Xenopus tropicalis: one gene and its partner. The protein of the gene in region 2 purifies or fractionates together with the protein of the main gene of each other region. This does not show direct contact. Links are inferred from orthologs where the notes say so. Each region holds a gene or a part of one and is shown on either strand. Other genes may lie near its edges.

Evidence for each region. The genes of interacting proteins can lie anywhere in the genome.
Region 1: the proteins of eed (region 2) and aebp2 purify together in Homo sapiens (affinity purification with mass spectrometry; 6 studies listed by BioGRID and IntAct, counting the BioPlex papers as one, with this or other methods). This does not show direct contact. The link is inferred for Xenopus tropicalis from reciprocal best matches to the Homo sapiens genes EED and AEBP2.

What each region holds. Positions count from the first base shown.
Region 1 is NC_030679.2:751,452-761,858, reverse strand, and holds the start of aebp2 (zinc finger protein AEBP2), read right to left. Parts: upstream 5,137-10,407; 5' UTR 5,006-5,136; coding exon 4,740-5,005; intron 3,510-4,739; coding exon 3,299-3,509; intron 860-3,298; coding exon 752-859; intron 357-751; coding exon 170-356; intron 1-169. UniProt on the Homo sapiens protein: Acts as an accessory subunit for the core Polycomb repressive complex 2 (PRC2), which mediates histone H3K27 (H3K27me3) trimethylation on chromatin leading to transcriptional repression of the affected target gene.
Region 2 is NC_030678.2:168,810,942-168,820,694, forward strand, and holds part of eed (polycomb protein eed), read right to left. Parts: intron 8,264-9,753; coding exon 8,171-8,263; intron 6,669-8,170; coding exon 6,603-6,668; intron 5,875-6,602; coding exon 5,749-5,874; intron 4,864-5,748; coding exon 4,782-4,863; intron 4,570-4,781; coding exon 4,478-4,569; intron 3,522-4,477; coding exon 3,388-3,521; intron 1,848-3,387; coding exon 1,742-1,847; intron 1,566-1,741; coding exon 1,407-1,565; intron 439-1,406; coding exon 365-438; intron 1-364. UniProt on the Homo sapiens protein: Polycomb group (PcG) protein. Component of the PRC2/EED-EZH2 complex, which methylates 'Lys-9' and 'Lys-27' of histone H3, leading to transcriptional repression of the affected target gene.

The sequences.
Region 1 (10,407 bases), on a different chromosome or scaffold from region 2:
GAGAACACATAAGGTTCCGTACCAGGGGGGGGGGAGAACACATAAGGTTCCGTACCAGGGGGGGGGAGAACACAGAAGGTTCCGTACCAGGGGGGGGGGAGAAAAACACATAAGGTTCCGTACCAGGGGGGGAGAACACAGAAGGTTCCGTACCAGGGGGGGCACTTACGGAGGGTGCGTTTCCGCTTGATCTTCAGCTTGCGCTTGCGGTTCAGTCCGGCTTTGGACGGCGACTCCTCCTTGGACTTGGAGTGATTGGCCATCTTGGAGGAGTTCTGTTGGCTGAAGTGAGTGGGCACGTGCCGGGCCAAGCCGCCCTGGGAGGCAAAGCTGGCATTGCAGCCGCCAACGACGCACTGTCAATCAAACAAGACTTTGCCTCAGTACCGAGCCCAGGGTCCCCCCCCACAAACTCACTGTCGGCCCTAAGGTGCCCCAATGTGCAGCTGCTGTGCCCCCCAGTGTGTAGCCCCTCAGCCTGCACTTACCCCCCAATTATAGTGGGACATTTAGCCCCTGGGGCCCCCCCCCCGACACAGACGGTACCTTGGGGCGCTGCTGGGATCTGTGGGTGCAGCACCGCCTGTTCCCCTGTCTCAGCCCCCTTCTCTCTGGCTCCTCCCCCATTATGGATTAGCCCAGTGCAGTGCTGCTGCCCAATAGCAGTAATGGGCTGGGCCTTCCCAGGAAGGAGGAGCTTATACAGGAAGGAGGAGCTTACACATTGCCCGATTGGCCGTTCCCACAATACCTTGAAGGGTTTGTCTCCGCTGTGGGTCAGCATGTGCCTCTGCAGCCAACTCTGACTCGTAGATGGGGTATTATACACCTTGCAGCCCTTCCAGTAGCACACGTACACCTGTAACATACACAGCCGGGGGTTAGTGCCCCGAGCAACACGGCCGGGGGTTAGTGCCCCACCTACACAGGCCCCCCCCCATATGTATAAATACAAATATACAGAGAGGGAATGTTCTGGGCACACAATAAGCTGTACCCCCATACTGTACTGTCTAAGGGAAACACTATGGCACCTCCTACCCATATGTATAAATACAAATATACAGAGAGGGAATGTTCTGGGCACACAATAAGCTGTACCCCCATACTGTACTGTCTAAGGGAAACACTATGGCACCCCCTACCCATATGTATAAATACAAATATACAGAGAGGGAATGTTCTGGGCACACAATAAGCTGTACCCCCATACTGTACTGTCTAAGGGAAACACTATGGCACCCCCTACCCATATGTATAAATACAAATATACAGAGAAGGAATGTTCTGGGCACACAATAAGCTGTACCCCCATACTGTACTGTCTAAGGGAAACACTATGGCACCCCCTACCCATATGTATAAATACAAATATACAGAGAAGGAATGTTCTGGGCACACAATAAGCTGTACCCCCATACTGTACTGTCTAAGGGAAACACTATGGCACCCCCTACCCATATGTATAAATACAAATATACAGAGAGGGAATGTTCTGGGCACACAATAAGCTGTACCCCCATACTGTACTGTCTAAGGGAAACACTATGGCACCTCCTACCCATATGTATAAATACAAATATACAGAGAGGGAATGTTCTGGGCACACAATAAGCTGTACCCCCATACTGTACTGTCTAAGGGAAACACTATGGCACCCCCTACCCATATGTATAAATACAAATATACAGAGAAGGAATGTTCTGGGCACACAATAAGCTGTACCCCCATACTGTACTGTCTAAGGGAAACACTATGGCACCCCCTACCCATATGTATAAATACAAATATACAGAGAGGGAATGTTCTGGGCACACAATAAGCTGTACCCCCATACTGTACTGTCTAAGGGAAACACTATGGCACCTCCTACCCATATGTATAAATACAAATATACAGAGAGGGAATGTTCTGGGCACACAATAAGCTGTACCCCCATACTGTACTGTCTAAGGGAAACACTATGGCACCTCCCTCCCATATGTATAAATACAAATATACAGAGAAGGAATGTTCTGGGCACACAATAAGCTGTACCCCCATACTGTACTGTCTAAGGGAAACACTATGGCACCCCCTACCCATATGTATAAATACAAATATACAGAGAAGGAATGTTCTGGGCACACAATAAGCTGTACCCCCATACTGTACTGTCTAAGGGAAACACTATGGCACCCCCTACCCATATGTATAAATACAAATATACAGGGAAGGAATGTTCTGGGCACACAATAAGCTGTACCCCCATACTGTACTGTCTAAGGGAAACACTATGGCACCCCCTACCCATATGTATAAATACAAATATACAGAGAGGGAATGCTCTGGGCACACAATAAGCTGTACCCCCATACTGTACTGTCTAAGGGAAACACTATGGCACCCCCTACCCATATGTATAAATACAAATATACAGAGAGGGAATGTTCTGGGCACACAATAAGCTGTACCCCCATACTGTACTGTCTAAGGGAAACACTATGGCACCCCCTACCCATATGTATAAATACAAATATACAGAGAAGGAATGTTCTGGGCACACAATAAGCTGTACCCCCATACTGTACTGTCTAAGGGAAAACACTATGGCACCCCTACCCATATGTATAAATACAAATATACAGAGAGGGAATGTTCTGGGCACACAATAAGCTGTACCCCCATACTGTACTGTCTAAGGGAAACACTATGGCACCACCTACCCATATGTATAAATACAAATATACAGAGAGGGAATGTTCTGGGCACACAATAAGCTGTACCCCCATACTGTACTGTCTAAGGGAAACACTATGGCACCCCCTACCCATATGTATAAATACAAATATACAGAGAGGGAATGTTCTGGGCACACAATAAGCCCCACCCCCATACTGTACTGTCTAAGGGAAACACTATGGCACCCCCTACCCATATGTATAAATACAAATATACAGAGAGGGAATGTTCTGGGCACACAATAAGCTGTACCCCCATACTGTACTGTCTAAGGGAAACACTATGGCACCCCCTACCCATATGTATAAATACAAATATACAGAGAGGGAATGTTCTGGGCACACAATAAGCCCCACCCCCATACTGTACTGTCTAAGGGAAACACTATGGCACCCCCTACCCATATGTATAAATACAAATATACAGAGAAGGAATGCTCTGGGCACACAATAAGCTGTACCCCCATACTGTACTGTCTAAGGGAAACACTATGGCACCCCCTACCCATATGTATAAATACAAATATACAGAGAGGGAATGCCCCGCCCCACGTTGCAGAGAACCAATGAGCACTCACCCCCCCGTGCTGCCCATCCACGTGGAAAGAGCGAATGTGGTCGGCCAGGTCGGGGCTGCAGGAGAAGGTGGTCTGACATTGGTCCCAGCAGCAGCTGTAAGAGAGGCTCTTATTGGCCGACGTGCTGATCATGCTTTGGCCGTTCATCATGGCGGGAGTCGAGCGCCCACTGGAGACCACACTGTCCACATCCATCAGGGTACTGCTGATACTGTGGGGCAACAAGCAGGGGTTACTGGGCTATACTGCCCCCCAACAGGATTCACTTACCCAGGGGGAGGTTCCTGCCTGACCATGGGAAAGAGAGCAGCCCAGGAGCAGGAAGTACAGAGAATCAGAGCTCTGTACCTGGGTAAGTACTGGGGGGAGATTGGATTCACTTACCCAGGGGGAGGTTCCTGCCTGACCATGGGAAAGAGAGCAGCCCAGGAGCAGGAAGTACAGAGAATCAGAGCTCTGTACCTGGGTAAGTACTGGGGGGAGATTGGATTCACTTACCCAGGGGGAGGTTCCTGCCTGACCATGGGAAAGAGAGCAGCCCAGGAGCAGGAAGTACAGAGAATTGGGGACCCTGACAGTCGGGGCAGACAGAGGTGAGAGGGGCACATAGAGTACAATTGCCCCTCAGGCTAATGAGGCAATTGCTAATGAATGTTGCCCCTATACATGAGTGCACTACTTACTCACAGGGGCTGTTGCTACAGAGAGTGATATATCCCCCCGGGTGGGGTAGTTCCGGGCGGCTGGACAAGGCAAGGACTGAACCTTTCCCCATAAGACTGAGGGGACAGAAGGAACCAGCGGGGCCCCGGTCACTGTGAGGGCCAAAGGGCCAGTGGGGTACCGACCAATCGCTAACACTGGGGGGGGCAGATCTGGTAAGTGCCCCAGAGGTGGAAACAGAGGGCTCAATAGATCGGATTCTCATTTGCTCAAGTACAACCTGCCCCACTTACTGCCCCGCCCCCACCGTGACATGTGACAGGACTACACTTCCCATCATCCTCCCCTGCCCTATCCAACCCCAGGGAATGTGAGTGCAGCCCCCTAGGGGCAGAACATATAGTGCCTCAGTACTAACCCCCCCCTGTGTAACTGCCCCAGCTCCATGTTATCTATTCCTACCCAGGTAATGAATACTGCCCCATCCTGCCCTCTAACTACCCCTCCCATAATGTAACTGCCCCAGCTCCATGTTATCTATTCCTACCCAGGTAATGAATACTGCCCCATCCTGCCCTCTAACTACCCCTCCCATAATGTAACTGCCCCTCATTTCTATTCCCCCTCAGTCCAATGACCCAACTGTATCTGCCCCCAGAGCCCAGCCTACCCTACTAACCCCGCCCCCTACCCTACTAACCCCGCCCCCATTCTCCCTGCTGCCACCACAATTGCCCCCAAGTACCTGCCCCAATCCAATTGCCCCTGGGGCACTGACCTGTCCTCCGAGTCCATGCGGCTGAGCGGTTCCCCCTCGGACACAGCCAGGCTCCCCGCTCCGGAGCTGCCGGTTCCCCCCCCGGGGCCCTGACTCTCCTGTCCCGCTGGGCTGTCGGGACGCTCCGACCCGGAGCTCCTGCTGCTCTCATCGTCCGCCTCGTCCTCCTCTTCCCCGGGCGGGGGCACGGCAGGCTGGGCGGGAGGGGGGCTGGAGGAGCCGGCGGGGGGCGCGGAGGGCTCGGAGCAAGAGGAGGCGGCGGCCATCTTGTCACTAAGCTCGGAGCTTCCCTTAGCGGCGGGGCGGGGCTTGGGGCGGAGACTGCGGCAGCATGCGTTACGGCGCCCGTAGAGGGCCAAAGCGGAGTGAGAAGCGGAACTCTTACTGGGCCGGGAGAGGAAAGGCTTCTAGTTATTGGACGAGAGGCTCTTAGGCTCCTCCTACTGTTATATCTTCCCATACTGCCCCCTAGTGGGGACTTACATTCCATACACTGCTCCGCTCTCCTTTCTCAATCAGGCTCTGGCCTCCTCTCCCAGCAGTGCTGTAATTCATCCTATTCCATAAAGGGTAACTGATTGTTTCCGTTTAAGAACAAAGCTCTGACCTGCCATAAAGCAAACCTGGGCTGCCGTTTCTCTACCAGACAGGAAGTGGAGATATTCACACCAGTTCTAGGGAATAGATTCCCCTGTGCAAGGGAAGTAGAGACGGGGGAGTGTATTTCCCGGTACCCATGTGACTCTCTCTGCTTCCTTTGCACGGGGGAGTGTATTTCCCGGTACCCGTGTGACTGTCTCTGCTTCCTTTGCACGGGGGAGTGTATTTCCTGGTACCCATGTGACTGTCTCTGCTTCCTTTGCACGGGGGAGTGTATTTCCCGGTACCCATGTGACTCTCTCTGCTTCCTTTGCACGGGGGAGTGTATTTCCCGGTACCCATGTGACTGTCTCTGCTTCCTTTGCATGGGGGAGTGTATTTCCTGGTACCCATGTGACTGTCTCTACTTCCTTTGCACGGGGGAGTGTATTTCCCGGTACCCATGTGACTGTCTCTGCTTCCTTTGCACGGGGGAGTGTATTTCCTGGTACCCGTGTGACTGTCTCTGCTTCCTTTGCACGGGGGAGTGTATTTCCTGGTACCCATGTGACTGTCTCTGCTTCCTTTGCACGGGGGAGTGTATTTCCTGGTACCCGTGTGACTGTCTCTGCTTCCTTTGCACGGGGGAGTGTATTTCCTGGTACCCGTGTGACTGTCTCTGCTTCCTTTGCACGGGGGAGTGTATTTCCTGGTACCCATGTGACTGTCTCTGCTTCCTTTGCACGGGGGAGTGTATTTCCTGGTACCCGTGTGACTGTCTCTGCTTCCTTTGCACGGGGGAGTGTATTTCCCGGTACCCATGTGACTGTCTCTGCTTCCTTTGCACGGGGGAGTGTATTTCCTGGTACCCATGTGACTGTCTCTGCTTCCTTTGCACGGGGGGAGTGTATTTCCTGGTACCCGTGTGACTGTCTCTGCTTCCTGTGCACGGGGGAGTGTATTTCCCGGTACCCGTGTGACTGTCTCTGCTTCCTTTGCACGGGGGAGTGTATTTCCCGGTACCCATGTGACTGTCTCTGCTTCCTTTGCACGGGGGAGTGTATTTCCCGGTACCCATGTGACTGTCTCTGCTTCCTTTGCACGGGGGAGTGTATTTCCCGGTACCCATGTGACTGTCTCTGCTTCCTTTGCACGGGGGAGTGTATTTCCCGGTACCCGTGTGACTGTCTCTGCTTCCTTTGCACGGGGGGAGTGTATTTCCCGGTACCCGTGTGACTGTCTCTGCTTCCTTTGCACGGGGGGAGTGTATTTCCCGGTACCCGTGTGACTGTCTCTGCTTCCTTTGCACGGGGGGAGTGTATTTCCCGGTACCCGTGTTTACTGTCTCTGCTTCCTTTGCACGGGGAGTGTATTTCCCGGTACCCATGTGACTGTCTCTGCTTCCTTTGCACGGGGGAGTGTATTTCCCGGTACCCATGTGACTGTCTCTGCTTCCTTTGCACGGGGGAGTGTATTTCCCGGTACCCGTGTGACTGTCTCTGCTTCCTGTGCACGGGGGAGTGTATTTCCCGGTACCCGTGTGACTGTCTCTACTTCCTTTGCACGGGGGAGTGTATTTCCCGGTACCTGTGTGACTGTCTCTGCTTCCTGTGCACGGGGGAGTGTATTTCCCGGTACCCGTGTGACTGTCTCTGCTTCCTTTGCACGGGGGAGTGTATTTCCTGGTACCCGTGTGACTGTCTCTGCTTCCTTTGCACGGGGGAGTGTATTTCCCGGTACCCGTGTGACTGTCTCTGCTTCCTTTGCACGGGGGAGTGTATTTCCTGGTACCCGTGTGACTGTCTCTGCTTCCTTTGCACGGGGAAGTGTATTTCCTGGTACCCGTGTGACTGTCTCTGCTTCCTTTGCACGGGGAAGTGTATTTCCCGGTACCCGTGTGACTGTCTCTGCTTCCTTTGCACGGGGAAGTGTATTTCCCGGTACCCGTGTGACTGTCTCTGCTTCCTTTGCACGGGGGAGTGTATTTCCCGGTACCCGTGTGACTGTCTCTGCTTCCTTTGCACGGGGGAGTGTATTTCCCGGTACCCGTGTGACTGTCTCTGCTTCCTTTGCACGGGGAAGTGTATTTCCCGGTACCCGTGTGACTGTCTCTGCTTCCTTTGCACGGGGGAGTGTATTTCCTGGTACCCGTGTGACTGTCTCTGCTTCCTTTGCACGGGGGAGTGTATTTCCCGGTACCCGTGTGACTGTCTCTGCTTCCTTTGCACGGGGGAGTGTATTTCCTGGTACCCGTGTGACTGTCTCTGCTTCCTGTGCACGGGGGAGTGTATTTCCCGGTACCCGTGTGACTGTCTCTGCTTCCTGTGCACGGGGGAGTGTATTTCCCGGTACCCGTGTGACTGTCTCTGCTTCCTGTGCATATGTGGGGGGGGGGGGGGGGGGTGGGGTATGGGGGAGGAGTCACAGGGAAACTGATAGAAAAGTCTAAGTTGCTGATGACAGAATCTCCCTATTTCTGCAGCAGAGAAGTCACAGGTAAATCTGAGCAACATCCAATAGGGGGCATTTATTTAACACTGGGCAAATTTGCCCCAGGCAGTAACCCATGGCAACCAATCAAACTGTTGCAGTCGTTGTTCTACCTGCAGCTGGCTGGAGAAAGCAAATCACTGATTGGTCGCTATGGGATTCAGTATTGTTGATAAGAGCCCCAATATCTGCCCTATTAGCCCCTCCCTGCTGCTTCCCACAGGGGTAGTTATGGGAATGCTGGGAAATTCAACTGGAGAAGAGCAGAGAGTCCCAGCAGTGATCAGAGGGAAGGAAAGAGAGTGAGACAGAGAGACATAGTGAGAGACAGACACAGAGTGAGGGAGAAAGAGACAGTGAGACAGGCAAAGAGTGAGACAGGTGGACAGAGAGTAAGAGACAGTCACAAAAGAGTGAGACAGACAAAGAGAGTGAGAGACAGACAAAGAGAGTGAGAGACAGACAAAGAGAGTGAGAGACAGACAAAGAGAGTGAGAGACAGACAAAGAGAGTGAGAGACAGACAAAGAGAGTGAGAGACAGACAAAGAGAGTGAGAGACAGACAAAGAGAGTGAGAGACAGACAAAGAGAGTGAGAGACAGACAGAGAGTGAGACAGACAGAGAGTGAGACAGACAGAGAGTGAGACAGACAGAGAGTGAGACAGACAGAGAGTAAGACAGACAGAGAGTAAGACAGACAGAGAGTGAGACAGACAGACAGAGAGTAAGACAGACAGACAGAGTGAGACAGACAGACAGAGAGACAGACAGACAGAGAGTGAGACAGACAGACAGAGAGTGAGACAGACAGACAGAGAGTGAGACAGAGAGTGAGACAGACAGACAGAGAGTGAGACAGAGAGTGAGACAGACAGACAGAGAGTGAGACAGAGAGTGAGACAGACAGACAGAGAGTGAGACAGACAGACAGAGAGACAGACAGACAGAGAGTGAGACAGACAGACAGAGAGTGAGACAGACAGAGAGTGAGACAGACAGACAGAGAGTGAGACAGACAGACAGAGAGTGAGACAGACAGACAGAGAGTGAGACAGACAGACAGAGAGTGAGACAGACAGACAGAGAGTGAGACAGACAGACAGAGAGTGAGACAGACAGACAGAGAGTGAGACAGAGAGTGAGACAGACAGAGAGTGAGACAGACAGAGAGTGAGACAGACAGAGAGTGAGACAGACAGACAGAACGTGTCTATAAATCGCTTTATTTTCCCCGTTTCTCATTGGCTGAGAGTCGGACCGCCCCAGTTGGTACATTTCCTCCATTCAGGAGCTCACACAGACGCCGGGCAGAAAGGTCCAAACCAGCGGTACCGTCCCTTTAAGGAACAACTGGACCGTGTGGGACATTCAGCGCCAGTTCTGGGTTTTACTCTGGGCCCAGATTGGCCCAATAACCCCCCGGTACCGACCCAGAGACAGAAAGGGCGGAGCCATAAGGAAAGTGGGTTGGGAAAGGGGCGGATCTATACAAATAAGTGGAAGGAATGAGCCAATAAAACAAGATGGACATTTATTTGTTTATAAAAGAAATAATATTCTGCTGCTGCACTCGATACACCGGGCGCCCCGATAATTACATTTATACACTTCTGCCCCTCTTATTGCTGTACAACCCCCCCCCGCCCCCCCCGGAAGAACTGAAAAGCCCCAGTGTCTCCCTATTGCAACCAGGTGGGGGCGCGGGGATCCGGCGGAGCCTCTAGGGGGCGCCCTTATTAAATATAAATATATCTATTGTACAAATCCGCTGGAAAACTCTATCGTGTTTCTGTTAAAAGCCCCAGGTGAGGGGGGTATAAAACTGCCGGGGGCAAATCACGTGGCGAAGACGAATGTAAGTGACGTCCCCCCCCCCTGCTGGCGAGTAAAAATGGCGGTATGTATGCAATGTGCAAGGTAGGTAGCAGCAAGCGTGGCCGGGGGGGGCGGGGACATCAGGTTTGGTAGGAAGTTCTGTACAGGAACCGGTCCGTCAGCCCAAATCCTCCCTCTGTGTAGTGTCTGCTCTGTAAGAGAGGGAACAGCCAATCAGAACTCAGCATCACAGGAAGGACCATGGGAAAGAGAGCAGCCCAGGAGCAGGAAGTACAGAGAATCAGAGCTCTGTACCTGGGTAAGTACTGGGGGGAGATTGGATTCACTTACCCAGGGGGAGGTTCCTGCCTGACCATGGGAAAGAGAGCAGCCCAGGAGCAGGAAGTACAGAGAATCAGAGCTCTGTACCTGGGTAAGTACTGGGGGGAGATTGGATTCACTTACCCAGGGGGAGGTTCCTGTCTGACCATGGGAAAGAGAGCAGCCCAGGAGCAGGAAGTACAGAGAATCAGAGCTCTGTACCTGGGTAAGTACTGGGGGGGGAGATTGGATTCACTTACCCAGGGGGGGGGGTTCCTGCCTGACCATGGGAAAGAGAGCAGCCCAGGAGCAGGAAGTACAGAGAATCAGAGCTCTGTACCTGGGTAAGTACTGGGGGGAGATTGGATTCACTTACCCAGGGGGGGGGGGGGGGGTTCCTGTCTGACCATGGGAAAGAGAGCAGCCCAGGAGCAGGAAGTACAGAGAATCAGAGCTCCTGTA
Region 2 (9,753 bases):
GTGTATGCCAAGCTTAAGTTTTTCAACGGAAGGACTGAATTTAAAGAACCTCCAGGTACAAACTGTACCAGTACTAATAGGGAACAGGCGTGGGCAACACATGAAGGGGGGGGAAATGGACGGAGTGTAGGTGGGTCTGGCCTTATAATCCATCAGCAGAGAGGGTCAGGGAAGGGAGGGATTTGTAGGGCATTATATATTTATTGGCAATTCCATTGCTGGTAAGTTTGTTATATTGTCCCCGGCCCTTGCTGGTGATTTAATGGCTGGACTAGTCAAATACTGAGTGGTAACCAAGCAACAGCTAAAACACAAAGCAACTGCAAAACATACTACTAATTGAAAGAGAAAGAGAGAGACTTACTTGGCCTTATGTGGATCTTCTACTTCCAAGTCCCAAACATAGAGCTTTCCTACTTGGTTACCCAAGGCCAGCATCTTACAGATAAAAAAAAAAGAATAAAAAATATTGTACAATGCAACATGATGGATAGCAGGGTACATTGGCACTATGCTGTAGCTCTGCTGAACATAATCATACAGCAGGTATACAGCTTCTACAGCCCTCCCTGTTCAGAAAGGATTTTAGGAATATTCTGATTACATCATTTCCCTTTGCTTTTTGGCCTTACTGGTCAGTTTTATAAGATGCTTAAAGAGCATTCTGCAAGAATGCAACTCACTTCTGTGTTTTTTAAAGGAAAACTATACTCCTAACAGTGTAGGTCTCTATAAAAAATATACTGCATAACCAGCTCATATGTAAACCCTGCTTCATCTAAATAAACCATTTTCATATAAATATACTTTATTAGCAGTATGTGCCATTGGGTAATCCTAAATAGGAAACTGCCATTTTAAGTACTAAGGGCCGCCCCCTGGGATCATAGGGTTCACAGAGCACACAAACAAGCCAAGGCACACATACATGCTAGGCCCCATCAGCCAATGAATGGGCAGAGTTCTGCCTTTTACTCCCACACTACTTCCTGTTATAGTTAGAGCTGCATCACTTCCTGTCAGCTGATCTCTGAGGGAGCACACAGCCCATCACTAAATGGCGGCTCAAGGGAAAGGATGTAAAAGGGCAATATTTACTGATATATATATATTCCAGTTTGGCGAGATTCTTTATTAGGTCACTTAATATAAACTGTCTGTTGTTTAGGAATTCATTCTGGGGGAATAGTTTTCCTAGAACTTTTCCTCACAAGACCACAAGACCGACTGCTCTGTAGGTACCTGACCAGGAGCAGGACTCTACTCCCCAAGCTGAAGCTATACTAAAGTCTATGAGAGCACATTTTACAAATGCATACCTTAGCTGCAGGCATAAATATTAGCAATTGACGTGATAAAGATCATCTCAAACTGTTTTAATACAAGAAAGATGGAATGTCACTTACTTTTTGCCAGAAGTCCATGGAAAACCTCATATACCAAATATCACACTGACTGTAATCAAAGCGCCCCAGAATGGTCACGTTGGACTCGCTGGCTTTGATCTTGTCTATATCATCTTCCATTTTACCAGGTTTCCAGCACACGATTGCATTTTCACAAGACTGAAATTACAGAGTAAATGCATTCAGCCTCCTTCTACACAAATATCCATCACCGGGCGGATATCGTATCTGTAGGTCCAGCTGTTGGGCAGGGCCCCTTTATCTCTGGTTGTTGTTTACTGTATGTAACTGTATGATCAATGCATACACAAAGTGATAGCGACAGTAACACTCACCTTAGACAAAATAAGGTCTCCTAACCACCTGACACAATCAACATAGTTTCTGTGTATGTCCCTTGTGGAAAAATCAGGGAAATGGATTTTCTGCGAGACAAATGGCCTGCAATGAGAAAATACAGATTAGTTAGAGAAATCCACTTGTAATACAATTTTAATCTAAAACATTCAATATTTCACTGTAAAAATGTATATAACTCACCTTAATAAATTAGCAAACCCATTTAAGCCATTACTTAAGGAGGACACTGCTCATTTGTGCATTAAAGGGGTTGTTCACCTTTGTACAACATTCACAAATCTAACAGTTCACATTAATAGAATCTTTGCCATATAGTTAACAAAACATGTGCTGCTGAAGAGATATTCACCTTAGAATCATCCCTTCACTTCTGCACAGGCCAAGTACTGGGATGGGGGGGGGGGCAGTGAGGGGGCTGTTCCTGCTGAATTGTGCTTAGTACAGGGGAATCCCTATGTGCCATAGTTTTATGGTATCTCTCTGTACAGGCTATGAGCAAACTTAGGGGGCTGTTCCTGCTGAATTGTGCTTAGTACAGGGGAATCCCTATGTGCCATAGTTTTATGGTATCTCTCTGTACAGGCTATGAGCAAACTTAGGGGGCTGTTCCTGCTGAATTGTGCTTAGTACAGGGGAATCCCTATGTGCCATAGTTTTATGGTATCTCTCTGTACAGGCTATGAGCAAACTTAGGGGGCTGTTCCTGCTGAATTGTGCTTAGTACAGGGGAATCTCTATGCTGCCATAGTTTTATGGTATCTCTCTGTACAGGCTATGAGCAAACTTAGGGGGCTGTTCCTGCTGAATTGTGCTTAGTACAGGGGAATCCCTATGCTGCCATAGTTTTATGGTATCTCTCTGTACAGGCTATGAGCAAACTTAGGGGGCTGTTCCTGCTGAATTGTGCTTAGTACAGGGGAATCCCTATGCTGCCATAGTTTTATGGTATCTCTCTGTACAGGCTATGAGCAAACTTAGGGGGCTGTTCCTGCTGAATTGTGCTTAGTACAGGGGAATCTCTATGCTGCCATAGTTTTATGGTATCTCTCTGTACAGGCTATGAGCAAACTTAGGGGGCTGTTCCTGCTGAATTGTGCTTAGTACAGGGGAATCCCTATGCTGCCATAGTTTTATGGTATCTCTCTGTACAGGCTATGAGCAAACTTAGGGGGCTGTTCCTGCTGAATTGTGCTTAGTACAGGGGAATCCCTATGCTGCCATAGTTTTATGGTATCTCTCTGTACAGGCTATGAGCAAACTTAGGGGGCTGTTCCTGCTGAATTGTGCTTAGTACAGGGGAATCCCTATGCTGCCATAGTTTTATGGTATCTCTCTGTACAGGCTATGAGCAAACTTAGGGAACTATTATAGAACTATTGACAAATAAAGTAGAGGGCTTTACTAAATGGGAATTAATGCATGAATAAATAGCTGCTGTGAGAGACACACACAAACTGACCCTTGCAGCTGCACTGTCAGTTACTGAGCAGACTTTCCAGCTTCTGTGGTTACTATAAGCACTGCTGCCATTTTATTGTATGCCTGTAAGGCTGGTTATTGCTTGGATACCAAACATTGACCTGCGGGGTCCAGAACCGAGCTCAGTCAAGCATCGCATTACCTGTTTGTTTTATTGGGGTTGTATTCGTAAGACTCTCTGATGGCCGTCTTCATTCTTAAAGAATTAATTCTCCAGAGCTTAAGGGAATGGTCCATACCACATGACATGATCTTCTCACCAAGCAAATCATAGTCCTAAGGCAAAGAGGCAGCAAGTTAAGACTGAGCTATGGCTACGTAAAACAATATGAAAATTAAATTCTACATGCTCTATATTAGAAACGTTTTTCCGAAAGAAAATATTTCCGCAACAATAAAGCCTAACAAAATATTCAAGTCAAGAAATCAAAAATCCGTGTGCCCTGAGCTAAACTAGAGAAGAAATGTAGGCGTGAATAAACCCATTAGGCTGGCTGTATGTGGGCCGATACTGAATACTTCTGAGCAAGTCAGCAGCTCATTGGCCCTTTCACTGAGTCAAAACGATAGTCTCATTGCTAATAGGGGAACTCCGGCTTCTGTACCAGAATTTCTTAAAGAGCCCCACACAGCACAGAAACCCCCAATATAGGGATCCCTGTAATCTGTTCAAAAAGAAGGAATAAATACCATTTTTTATGCTAAAATCCAGCTGCAAAACAGTTCTTCTCTTTCTGCATCATCTGAAATCCTGGCAGGGGAGGAGGGACTAAAGCCCTGATGTTACAAATTGTAACAACTTCTCCCCAGCTTACAGACAGCATGCAGTAACTACATAACCCACAATGCATTGCACTGGGATGTTCCTTTCCTTACTGACATCACGTGTGCAGCAGGGGATTGTGGGATTGGGAGGAGGCAGGCTGAGAACAGGCAACTACTGTTACATGTTATTTGAGTCACAAAGTAGTCAGCCAATCAGCAGGGGAACAGGGGGCGGGGCTTAGGGAACTGTTCCAAACCAGATTATTACATTAAACATCATGAAAAGGCTGCATATTTTCTAAGTAAAAATACTTGAATTTATGTTTACTTTTCTAAACGCTTAAGTTGTGTTTGGGTTAATATCTGACTGGGATGAGTTTATATATTGTGCAGGAAAGGGGGACAGCATGCTTCTCTCTCAACAGGTCTACACAGCACTAACACCCCCCCAAATGCAGTATACATACCGCGCTTAACACTTCATCTCTGTGACCTTCCACTCCACCAAAAATGGCTACAAGTGTGTCTGTCTGTATGTTCCAAAGTCTTAGCGCATGATCTGCGGGGGGCATAAAACATGGTGTAAAAAAAATAAGACACATACAAACCAGCAGCCATAGCCTTTAGCGGCACAGAGCTGCTCTTAACCACAGTACATAGAGTTGGTTATGATATAAATTCACTTCTGCACATTATATACAAAAATAAGGTGACCCCCTAGACACTAAAGCTCCACCAACCCCTTCAGAGCTTATACAGTTCCACACCTACCTTTGCTAACTGATAGGAGGAGGTTTGGATCCCTTGGATGAAATTTAAGCTCATTGATAGCATTTCCGTGGCCCACATAGTGCTAGAAGAAAGTGGAAGGAAAATTAAAGATATTATGCATGGTTATATATTCCATGTACAATGCTATTTGCAATCCTACAGAAAAAGGGGGATACTTTTAGTATGATGTACAGAGTAATATTCTGAGACAATTTGCAATTGGTCTTCATTTTTTATTATTTGTGCTTTTTAATTATTACACTTTTTGGTTGCTAGGGTTAAAAATGAATAGGAGAGAACCTGAATAGAAAGATAAGCAATAAAAATTGTAGCCTCACAGAACAGCTTATTTTTGGCTTTTAGGGTCAGTGATCCCCATTTAAGAGTTGGCAAGTGTTAGAAGAAACTATAAAAAACTATAAGACGAATTGCTTAGAACTGGCCATTCTAAAATGTACCTAAAGGTGATCCTTCCCTTTAACACAATCAAATGAGTAAATGAGACAAACAATATATTGAAAGCTGGAGTTTCTGTACAGCTGCAGCATTTAAAATCTGGTGATAGCCGTAAAGACTACTCAACTTGCTTATACAAGAAGGGTATTTAGGGTAGGAACCCACAGAGTGGTTCAGTGGCCCACGACAAACCGCTTTGGAAAGGTTTTCCACCGGCAACTGTAGGAGCCGCCAGTGAAAAGCCCTTTGCATCACTTTGTTTTCCAAAGCCCTGAAGATTTTGCATTACTGAAACAATGTGAAGGGCTTTCCACCGGTGACTCCTACTGTCTCCAGTGGAAAACCTTTCCAAAGCAGTTTGTCGTGGGCCACTGAACCGCTCTGTGAGTTCTTACCCTTAAGCACCGATCTTCAAACAGTGAGGGCAGCATCAAACCCAGACTACAGATTAAGATATCAGCTACTAACAAGCTTGTAAATGATCCCACGGATGCAAGGAAAATCCTCTTACCTTAATACACTGCATAGTAATAGGATTAATTATCCTTATGATCCCTCTAGAACCAGCCACTGCTAGAAGTGGGTGACTTGTGTTGCTGTCGTACGTCCAAGCGCAAGTATAAAAGTTCTCATCTGCCTGAATGTAAGAATTAAGGAGAGAAAAAGCTGTACATGGAATCCGTCGCAGTCCCAGACCCAAGGGCGGAGAGGCACCCCAGTTCATGACACCCACAATTCCCCACTGATAGATAATGTCTGAATCATTAAATTAATTGCTCTTACTGACTATTAGCACACTCCCAGTTAACATGAGGGGTCACAAATACCCAGGTTAAAGATTAGGGATGCACCAAATCCACTATTTTGGGATATGGCCGAACCCTGAATCCATCATAAAAGATTTGGCTAAATAACGAACCCTAATTGGAATATACAAATAAGGCTGTGGAATGGTTAAAGAGAACCATATGCAAAGTACGAGGTGAAAATGTTTCAACTTCCGTGTTTATGTGACAAAAAGGTCATGTGACTTAAAGGATTCTGTTGGGCCAGGTCCATGGACTCAGCTGAATCCTGCTGAAAAAGGCCAAATCCCGAACCAAATCCTGGATTTAATCCTGCAGCGCCGGGTTCCTAGGCTCCTCTGCAAAGAGTCTGTATGTTCTCCCCGAGTTTGTGTGGCTTTTTCTGGGTACCCTGTTTTCCTCCCACACCCAAATACATACAGCCAGGTAACCTGGCTTCTGAAACAACTAGTGTGTGTGTGTGTGTGAATGTGATTGGGAACCTAGATTGTAACCGTGAACAACAATTAACTGCAAATTCCAAATATTTTCAGCAAAAAGCAAAACTCGTCAAGGATACGTCGGCGTCCACATAGGACTGCAGCAGTCGGATTTCCCCCTGTGGGTGGCATTCATATAACGTTACCTATGTGAGAAAAACAAACATTCTTAGAACAGAGGGGCCACGGATATGCATAGCGATATCTCGCAGAAATATACAGAAAGCCGGAACACCTTATAATATATAATAGTATATATAGTATATAATAGTAGCAATGTCCTAAATGTCCCTGCCGGAAGCACAGTAAAAGGGGGAGAGCCAATCACAGCCCAGCAGTCACACAAGCAAAGGAAGGCTCCAGTTCCCTATCAGGTCAGCCTAGCTGCTGATTGGTTCCTATCCTACAGTGCAGTGTGCTGAGTGCCACTGGCCCCCCTGCACAGCCCGGGAAAGAAGGCAGCAGGAAGTGGAACAGATGGGCGGGACTAGTGGGGTTTTTGTTGAAATTTCTAATAAATCAGCCCTAAACAGTACATTTGAAAACACATTCCTTCTATGAGTCCAATTCATATTGTTTTTCACACACTATGTCCCCTTTACATCAAAATTTCAAATGAGAAAAACATCCCAATGGACTTGCATTCTGCAACACCATTTCAAAAAGTAGTGTGCCTAGGTGCAATTATATCATCAATAACCAACGCAGACCAAATATTAATGAATAGAAAGCAGGAAAATACAAGGCATCAATTACCAACACGACTGCTGCATTGCACCGGGGCAATAACCCATAGTTTGAAGGGGAGGGATTCCTTTGTTTCACTAGAATGATCTAAGGAAATATCCTTAGATCATTCTAGTGGAACGAAGGAATCCCTCCCCTTCAAACAAAACAGGGATTGTTACTCCATATATAGCAATATATTTAGGCTGGCCAACTACATCAAATATGAATTGTGTGGTCACAGCCTCATTGCACCCCCGCCTAATGGTTTAAAATGCAGTGTTGAGCACAACTTTCCCTTTGTTGCCTCCTAACTAGAAATTCAAAAATAAGCACCAGCTTTGAGGCCACTGGGAGCAACATCCAAGGGGTTGGGGAGCAACATGGTGCTAACGACCCACTGGTTGGGGATCACTGCCCTAGAGCAATAGCTGCAAAAAGCCTCATTAACATTTTTATAAACAAGTTTTTACCTTATACTTGCATTATTAAATCTTTATGTAAAGGAACAGTAATGCCTCCCAGGCAAATTTTTCGTTTTGGCCTCTTTAATCACTTTATTGACACTCCATAAAACTATACATATTTGGCATTGGCACATTCATGAATCATGCAGATTTCGAAATCAGTTTTATTCAGTAAATAGTATCAGTATTTTCACATATAGAACATTTTAGTGATATATCCCTATATAAACACATCTTATGCAAACTGGCAACATCTATTTTTTTTTTTTTAGACCCATAAGAAGTGGAATTAAACAAAACAATTAGAAAGTCCAGGTTCTATAAAAAAAAATAGATGTATAGTTTTACTAGGCAAACTAATTCCCCTTAAGTGAAATGACTGGCAAATGAAAGGGAAACCCTGCCCCAGCTGCCCCCTCATTGTAAATAGCTTGCCATCACATTCCCATACATACCCTGTTACTTCCAACAGTAGCGAAAACCAGCGGGTCTCCCTCCTTACTGTGCCAGTTAAACTGAACCCCAAACAGTGGCTGATTGTGATCTTCCTGCAGGAATGGAAAAAAAAAAACACCATTGCATAATAAGCACAAATTGATTTTGTGGCTGAATAATCTAATGCAACAGAAATTTTCCACCCACTTTACACTAGGAAAAAGAAATGTAAATAAGAGGATTAATCAGCTTGCTAAATAACCTGCTTCAATTTAAAGAAACAGTGACCCCAAAAAATGAAAGTGTATAAAAGTAATTAGAATATAATGTATTGGTAACAACTGGGGTGTTTGGCTCTTAAACCCTACTATAGTTTATATAACCAAAGCTGCTGTGTAGCCCCAGGGGCAGCCATTCAAAGGAGAGAAGGCACAGGTTAGAGAGCTTATCAGTTATCTGCTATGTAACCTGTGCCTTTTCTCCTATTTTCCAGCACGAATGGCTGCCCCCGGAGCTACACAGCGGGGTATTTATATAAACTATAGTAGGGTTTCTGTAGCAAACACCCCAGCTGTACCAGTGCAGGAATGGCTGCCCCCGGGGCTACACAGCGGGGTATTTATATAAACTATAGTAGGGTTTCTGTAGCAAACACCCCAGCTGTACCAGTGCAGGAATGGCTGCCCCCGGGGCTACACAGCGGGGTATTTATATAAACTATAGTAGGGTTTCTGTAGCAAACACCCCAGCTGTACCAGTGCAGGAATGGCTGCCCCCGGGGCTACACAGCGGGGTATTTATATAAACTATAGTAGGGTTTCTGTAGCAAACACCCCAGCTGTACCAGTGCAGGAATGGCTGCCCCCGGGGCTACACAGCGGGGTATTTATATAAACTATAGTAGGGTTTCTGTAGCAAACACCCCAGCTGTACCAGTGCAGGAATGGCTGCCCCCGGGGCTACACAGCGGGGTATTTATATAAACTATAGTAGGGTTTCTGTAGCAAACACCCCAGCTGTACCAGTGCAGGAATGGCTGCCCCCGGGGCTACATAGCGGGGTATTTATATAAACTATAGTAGGGTTTCTGTAGCAAACACCCCAGCTGTACCAGTGCAGGAATGGCTGCCCCCGGGGCTACACAGCGGGGTATTTATATAAACTATAGTAGGGTTTCTGTAGCAAACACCCCAGCTGTACCAGTGCAGGAACGGCTGCCCCCGGGGCTACACAGCAGGGTATTTATATAAACTATAGTAGGGTTTCTGTAGCAAACACCCCAGCTGTACCAGTGCAGGAATGGCTGCCCCCGGGGCTACACAGCAGGGTATTTATATAAACTATAGTAGGGTTTCTGTAGCAAACACCCCAGCTGTACCAGTGCAGGAATGGCTGCCCCCGGGGCTACACAGCAGGGTATTTATATAAACTATAGTAGGGTTTCTGTAGCAAACACCCCAGCTGTACCAGTGCAGGAACGGCTGCCCCCGGGGCTACACAGCAGGGTATTTATATAAACTATAGTAGGGTTTCTGTAGCAAACACCCCAGCTGTACCAGTGCAGGAATGGCTGCCCCCGGGGCTACACAGCAGGGTATTTATA